Mus musculus: one gene and its partner. The protein of the gene in region 1 purifies or fractionates together with the protein of each later gene. This does not show direct contact. Links are inferred from orthologs where the notes say so. Each region holds a gene or a part of one and is shown on either strand. Other genes may lie near its edges.

What was found.
Region 2: the proteins of Cd9 (region 1) and Itgb1 purify together in Homo sapiens (co-immunoprecipitation; 5 studies listed by BioGRID and IntAct, with this or other methods). This does not show direct contact. The link is inferred for Mus musculus from reciprocal best matches to the Homo sapiens genes CD9 and ITGB1.

What each region holds. Positions count from the first base shown.
Region 1 is NC_000072.6:125,459,738-125,464,047, forward strand, and holds the end of Cd9 (CD9 antigen), read right to left. Parts: intron 4,023-4,310; coding exon 3,948-4,022; intron 2,689-3,947; coding exon 2,590-2,688; intron 2,467-2,589; coding exon 2,377-2,466; intron 1,573-2,376; coding exon 1,489-1,572; intron 990-1,488; coding exon 924-989; 3' UTR 529-923; downstream 1-528. UniProt on the Homo sapiens protein: Integral membrane protein associated with integrins, which regulates different processes, such as sperm-egg fusion, platelet activation and aggregation, and cell adhesion.
Region 2 is NC_000074.6:128,709,509-128,713,323, forward strand, and holds part of Itgb1 (integrin beta-1 precursor), read left to right. Parts: intron 1-744; coding exon 745-967; intron 968-3,699; coding exon 3,700-3,815.

The DNA of each region.
Region 1 (4,310 bases):
CCAAGGACTCTTCATGATACCCAGCTGTTCAACCAAGGACTCTTCATGGAGAGCCATACTGAGCACTGGCTATGCCTGGTTACCAAGGTCTTGGTGCTAGAGGTACAACGATGAGTATAGCAAAGACTCAGCAGAGCCCAAGACACCACACACTGCTGAGCTGGGGACTCATCCTAGTGTGGACTAAAACTGTGACCTCGGGTAGGTCATCAGAATTTCCCAATCTATCACGCCTCGGGTCCCTTACTAGTAGATGAGGAGACTTACCTTCCAGTCTACTTCTCATCTACTGCCCAAAGAACACAAGACAGCTGAAAGAGGTGGGCGGGCTGGTGCACAGGGGTGATATCAGCACTTGGGAGATTGGAAGGCTGCCTGGAACTTGAGGGCAGCCTGATCTACAGAGAGAATGATGCCTGGCTAGACAGGATAACAGATTTAAAAAAAAAAAAAAAACCTGAAAAATACCTTTGACCCAAGCAGTTCTAAAAACTAATTTAGAAAGCAATACCAGCAATCAGCCCGAGACACTGTTATAATCTTTTATTATGTATCAAATTGTCTTCAATATAACTTACAACCTGATTTTTATCTGATAGATACTTTTATCTATTTAAAGGCAAAAAAAATTCTCTTTATGTACAATATCTTATGTCTAGAGTCTGGCAAATATAGTACCTTTCATTGCAGGATTTTTGCTTAACATAACAAGCAAAAATAAACAACCAAAAAAAAAAATCAAAATAAATTGAACCCCCGGATCCCTCAACTACAAATGTCAATAATGAATAAAGCATTAAAAAGACAAACAGAATGACTGTTATTTAGAAATGCATAATGAATACTAATATTAGTGGCAAAAAAAACCCAAATGGCCCGGACAGTCTTCAGGGCCGTTGTTCCTGCTCGGGGTTGGGCAGACTCTAGACCATTTCTCGGCTCCTGCGGATGGCGCAGCACAGGATCATGCTGAAGATCATGCCGAAGATCTGTAAAGACAGGAAGGGGGCGTGGTCTGCCTGACCTGAGGGGAAGGACCATCACCCAGGCCAAGACAAATGCCCAAGGCAACAGCAAGGTCTAGGAAGGATACTGGTGTAGGAGATATGAAGGCCAGATAACAGGAAGGATGGCAGGGACTCGGATTCCGGCAGTCAGCTGCCGAGATATTTCCTTAGAGAATATTCAGGGTGAGACCCTAAAAATGCAGCTTTAAGTCTTAACTTCAGTGTTTCCAACACAGCATGCAAATTAGGACTCTCTCCATCCTCTTTTCTTTGCTGGGCTGGGACTGAAACCCAGGGCCTTGCCCATTCCAGCTAAGTGCCCTGCCTCTGAGCCACAGCCCAAGAGCTCCCACTTCCTAATAGTAAGAAAGAAATACTGACGGTATCCACCTGCCCAGGATAGCCAGGGTTGCTTCTGACGCTACAGCACTTCTAACAGTGCCCAGGCATGGCTTTCTTCCCCGGACTACCCGGCACTTACCATCACCACGGCGATGCCGATACCCACTGCTCCAATGATGTGGAACTTGTTGTTGAAGACCTCACTGATGGCTTCAGGGCAGGGCTTAGGGAGGCAAACGAGACACACAGTAAGCAACAGTTCTCACGTTAGCTGTGCACCTCTTCTTTGGTGATTTGCTGATTCCTGTATCATTCTGGGAGGCCTCACGGCCAGAGGGGGAACTGAGAGATATAGGGGGTACCCTAAACTTGAGAACAGAGAAGCGGGAGGTTTCAGGTCTCTCTTTTTCTTTCTATATACTTTTACACTGAGTGTTGTCTGCATGTGTGTATGAGCACATCTGTGCCTGGTGTCTGTGGAGCTCAGAAGAGGGCATTCGATCCCCTGGGACTGCAGTTACAGGTGATTCGCAGATGCGATGCTGGGTCCTCTGGAAGAGCAAGGGCTCTCACCACCGAGTCAACTTGTGATAGCAGCCCCACAACCACCCTTTTTTTCTCTTTTTGGCAGTTCTGGGGCTGGAACCTGGTGCCTCATCCACCAGGCAAGCATTCTGCCACTCAAAGAGGCCCCTCTGGGTCCAGTCCCATGTGGCTGTAGAGAGTCACTTTATAATTCTCCTTCTGGATGAAGGAGAACGGACTGACCGGGAACTGTTTCTAAAGCCGTAGGAGCAGACATACCCTCCACGGGATTGGGATCTGCTTGCTCTTTAAGGCTTGGGACTTGGGCAGTGTGCACGGCCCCAGGTGTCTGTAGCTGCAGGAGCTAGGGGATTTTGTTCTGTCTCTGATCTGGCCTTTGTTTCTCACCGCCTGGGAAGAATGTTGCTAAATTCACCCAAGCCCTTGCAGGGATTTGTCTAAGCGGCAGGGCAGCATGCCAGAGGGTTGCTTCTCAGTTTACCTTAACCTGGAAACTTTCCAAAAGCTGTTTCTTGGGGCAGGTGTCCGAGATAAACTGCTCCAAAGGACCAGCTATGCCACAGCAGTCCAACTTTAGAGAGAAGGCAGGGATGAGGATGAGAAAAACAAAGAGATAGTTAAAAGAGGTATGATCGCGGATACCCCGCGGGGATGTACTGGAGGGGCGAGTGATTTCTGTACAGAGGTGACCTACCGCCATATGGATGGCTTTGAGTGTTTCCCGCTGGGGTTCATCCTTGCTCCGTAACTTTTGGTAGGTGTCCTTGTAAAACTCCTGGAGTTCTTTAATCACCTATGAGGGACAGACAAATCAGGAGCAGAGATGGGTTTCTCAAAAACTGCTTCACGGATACCCTTCAAGCGCTTGGCTAACTGCCACCAGTACCATCTGTCTCACCACTGTTCCTGCTTCGACCTCCAAAGTGCCCAGGTTACAGGAGTCTGCCATCTTGCCTGGCTAAGTTTCTTTTGAGGTGATGGAGTGACACTGGGAATCCCCAGCCTCTATCCCTTCGTAAATTCTCTTATCAGTTGGGTAGTTTTTTGAAAATGTAGATCCCACATCAATTCCTTTCCTTCTTCTCCCACTGAAGAATATAAGCGGCCCTGCTTTTTTTTTTTTTTTTTAAAGATTTATTTATTATATGTAAGTACACTGTAGCTGTCTTCAGACACACCAGAAGAGGGCGTCAGATCTCATTACAGATGGTTGTGAGCCACCATGTGGTTGCTGGGATTTGAACTCAGGATCTTTGGAAGAGCAATCAGTGTTCTTAACCACTGAGCCATCTCTCCAGCCCCCCTGCTTTTTTAAATGTTGCACTGTGTTCCAGCCTGGCCTACAACTCCTTAAAGAGTTCACCAGAGAAACTCAAACTCACATGGTCAGCACCCTTCCTTGGCCCAGAAGTTCCCCACTCCTGCCCCCCTCTCCCCCTCCAGACGCCCTATCTCATTCAAGGTCTAGATCCACACTTACTTCCTTATAAACTGGAAGAGACGCTCTGGCCCACCCTCACCTTCTTTAAATCTCAACGTATTTTTGGTTATAAATGACTTGTGTGACATTTGTCTAACATCCTTCTTCCACACTAGATGGCAAAGTTCCTCAAAGTGTGAGACCCGGAACCTGGATACTTGGGGATGGACCTTGCATAGTGTCTGGTGTGGTACTTGTATGTATTTACAGATTAGAGAAAGCGAGTCTTTGCTGATTACAGAAAGCCATGTTGTTCTGAGCAACCTTTCTAGGAGCAGTGGGGAAGGGCTGTCTAGCTGTGATTGTCAGGCCCACAGACAGGCACACACACAAACGGTTTCCAAAAACGTTCTGAATGGTAACTATGGTGCTAGCCACACAGGGCAGGCTAAGCTCCACGTTCCCACTCCCAAGGACTGTTTGTCTTGCTTTTACATGGAAACATACTGGATAAGGAGGTGTGATCAGTGGAAAACCCAGCAAGTGACTAGCCTGGACCCTTTGTTCTCCGTCTTCCCAGCTCAGAAACTCAAATCACTGTAGGACCCAAGTGTACTTATGGAAACACCTACCTCATCCTTGTGGGTATAGCCCCAGACGGCGGCGGCTATCTCAATGGCGAATATCACCAAGAGGAACCCGAAGAACTAGAAGACACAAAGGACGTGGTGAGAGAGACTCCAGCAAGCCAGTCAGCAATACCAAAGGCTTGCAGAACAGTTAGCGTGCGGGTGGCACAGATGGACAGGCAGGAAGAGGTTAAGCAAAAAGCAGAGAAGCCATGAATTCTGGGGGGAAAATGTGATCTGCTGCCCCTACACTGGTACTTGGGGATGTTAGTTTAGAGTCGGGCAGCAATAAACCACCACTGCCCACACACAAATACCACCGAGATCGGGGAAACAAAGGCAGCGCATTCACTCCGTGGCGTCTGG
Region 2 (3,815 bases), on another chromosome or scaffold:
GGGATGTCCATGCAGGCAAGACACTCAAACAAATAAGATACAATTTAAGAAAAACAATAAAAATATCTCATTTAGTAGCAAGCATTTAAAAGATTTAGTAGCAAGCATTTAAAAGATTTTTAGCTCGTCAGTGATGGCACATGCATTTAATCTCAGCACTGGAAAGACAGAAACAGGCAGATGTCTGAGTTTGAGGATAGCCTGGTCTATATAGAGTTTCAGGACTACACATAGAAACCTTGTCTCAAAAAAGTTTTTATTCAGGAAAGTTTATGCTATGCTTTACACACACACACACACACACACACACTATTAATTGGGATGTATTTAGGCTAATGTGGTTTTCTTAAACGCCTAGTTGTTTAAAATGCTTTGCTGGGAAGTCCTTCAAAGGACTTTTCTAAGAGAAAATAATATTGTCTAATGTGTGGGCTTATCCATAATTAGGTGCTGCTAAGTATGCCAAACACTGAAGGATGTAGTTAGTATTGACATACTCTGAATTTGAAAGGTGAGGCTTCTAAAATATGCATAAAGCCTGGGGAAAGATAGGACTTTTTCAGTTGGTTTTACTTGTTTTTGTGTAAGAGCACACACATACCACGTTGTGGATTTTTGTTAAGAAGCTAGAAACGAACTACCTTAGATTAAGTCATTTGATTTTTGTAATTTGTTTACATGCAGTAAAAAACATCAAAATACTTGCTATACTTTTTTTGTTGATGTATTTTATATTTCATTTAGACATTTTTGCAAGAAGGAATGCCTACTTCTGCACGATGTGATGATTTAGAAGCTTTGAAAAAGAAGGGTTGCCAGCCAAGTGACATAGAGAATCCCAGAGGCTCTCAAACTATAAAGAAAAATAAAAATGTCACCAATCGCAGCAAAGGGATGGCAGAGAAGCTCCGGCCAGAAGACATTACTCAGATCCAACCACAACAGCTGCTTCTAAAATTGAGATCAGGTACCTCTATCCCTACCTGAGTTTTCCATAGCAAGTTTATACAAGCCTTTTCCCAGTCTTTTGATGGTTCATTTGGGTGAACTGGTACCCCAAATAGGGCATAAGTTAAATTTTAGAGGACATAACCTCTTTTTGTTGCTTTTTGCTGTCCTGGAACTTGCTCGGTAGACCAGGTTGGCTTCAGTCTCAGAGATCTGCTTGTCTCCTCTTCCCAGATGCTGGGATTAAAGGTGTATGCCACACTTTTGATTCCTGGCCACAATTTTTGTAAGACATATTACTTTTAATAATTTAATGATAGAGATTAAAGTTAAGAGTGAAATGTTCTCTGTGTAAAGGCACTGCTACACAAAGGTGAGTAACGATCTAGTTTTACTTTAGAGTTGTAAAAGGAAGTTACAGAGGTGAAGTCATAATTACAAAAAGATCAAGGAAAAAAAGATGAAGCCTAAACTGAAAAATGAGGAAGGCGAGAGAGGTAAAAGTTGTTACATGTTATTTACTTAAAAAGCACAGAGCTGGAAGGCAGCTTAGTGGTAGAGCATCCATCTGTTAGTATAATTTCATAATATAAAAGCAAAGTTTTACTTATTTATTTAATGTATATGAGTACACTGTAGCTGACTTCAGACGTACCAGAAGAGGGCATTGGATCCCATTACAGATGGTTTGAGCCACCATGTGGTTGCTGGGAATTGAACTCTGGACCTCTGGAAGAGCAGTCAGTGAAAAGCTAAGTTTTAATCCATACATCGTTTAGTACCATTTAAATACTAACGATTTTATAAGTGCTCATGGCCATCCCACCTCTGAAATAGACAACATGCCCTCTTTCTGCCTGTCATCCTTCCATCCTGTTACTGCTGCCTGGCTAAACTTCAGCCTAGGAAATAGACATTGTTATAGTTTGAATGTGAAATGTCCCACTTAGGTTCCTGCATGCCGACTTTTGTTCTTGGCTTGTAGTGCTGTTTTGGGAGTCTGTGGAGCCTTCAGTTGCTGAGGCTTGACTGGCAGAGTGTGTGTCTCTGGGGGTGGGCTTTAGTTTCCTGAGTTGCCAAGACATAGAGTGCTGTTCCCTCTTGGTCCTGCTCTAACTTCTGTGACCTTCTTGAAACTGAGCCAAAAATAAATCTTCTTTCTCCTAAGTTGCAATGTCAGGAAAAGTACTTAGTACAGACTTCTTGTACATATACTGTAGTGGAATACTACTATCATTCTTTGACCTGCAGGATCCTGATCAGGACATTGATTATGTATTTGCCTAAGTCACATTTTATTTTAATCATCATTACTTAAAAACATTTTTTAGGTTTACTTATTTTTTATATGCACATTTTGCCTGTATGAATACATGCATATGTGCACCGTGTATGTACCTGGTGCCTGCAGAGGTCAGAAGTTATCAGATCCCTTGGAACTGAAGTATGGTTATGAGCTGACATATGTTAGGAGTTGAACCTGGGTCCTCGTAAAAGCAGCAAGTGCTCTTAACTTCTAAGTCATCTCTAGCCCCTCGTCGTTACTCCTACTGTGGGGAGCTTGTAAGAGGCTCTCTTCTTAAACTTAGGAGTCCATGTCACTGCTGGTTTTTCTCAGTTCCTTCCATTGCTTCCAATTTCCTTTTTGTGTTTTCTTCCTTTCATCCTTCTGCAAATTTAGGTAAGACTTGGTTTTCCTCTCATCATCATTGGAAATCATCATTCAGCAATGACATAAGCTTTTCCGTTTAGCTCTGTACCTGTTCTCCAGCTGCCTGCCAGGAAGTCAGGGAAAAAAGATCGTTTTTCATCTAAGCAGACCTTCCATTTTCTCCCATGTTTGTGTTTTATTTTGTGGTACTGGAGATAGAATTTAGGATCTCTCATGTGCTGGGCAAATGCTCTACCACTAAGCTGCCTTCCAGCTCTGTGCTTTTTAAGTAAGTAACATGTAACAACTTTTACCTCTCTCGCCTTCCTCATTTTTCAGTTTAGGCTTCATCTTTTTTTCTTGATCTTTTTGTAATTATGGCTTCACCTCTGTAACTTCCTTTTACAACTCTAAAGTAAAACTAGATCGTTACTCACCTTTGTGTAGCAGTGCCTTTACACAGAGAACATTTCACTCTTAACTTTAATCTCTACCTGTCTAGAATGTACCTTTCATTCTGCCAAAACTCATGGTGTTCTGATTTTCTCATAAGTTTTTGTGTAAATCACCTTGTGGTTACAGTAACAACTACTTGAAATACATGTAAAAAGAAAAGCTTATTTTGGGCCATAGTTTTAGAAGTTTTCATCTGACGGAGTGGCCTGTTGCTCTGAGCTTGTGGTGATGTGAGATGTCATGGTGGGGCATCTGGGAGATAAGACAGAAAGGAGGTCCCATAGACTCCAGGGCACATCACTGGTAACCCAAACCTCCTGCTAGTCCTTACCTCTCAAACTTCCCACTGCCTCCTGAAAGTACCAACACATGGGCAGATCCAAACTGTAGCAGAATTATTTGTATTTTGTGGGTTGCTGGAGAGGGCATTGCCTTCATCATTTTTGCCTCCTTAGGTCTTGGAGTTGTAAATGGTTGGTTAAACGAAATCAAGTGTGCCTGTTGAGGCGCTAACAAAATTCTTAGATTTGGAAAAAATATACACTTAAGACTATATCATTGAACATGTAAATTGGACTTACTTTTTTTCTCATTTTATTTTGATTACTGGCCATCTAATTTCAGTTTTGAATCTTGTTAATTAGGAGAACCACAGAAGTTTACATTAAAATTCAAGAGGGCTGAAGATTACCCTATTGATCTCTACTACCTTATGGATCTCTCCTACTCTATGAAAGATGATCTGGAGAATGTGAAAAGT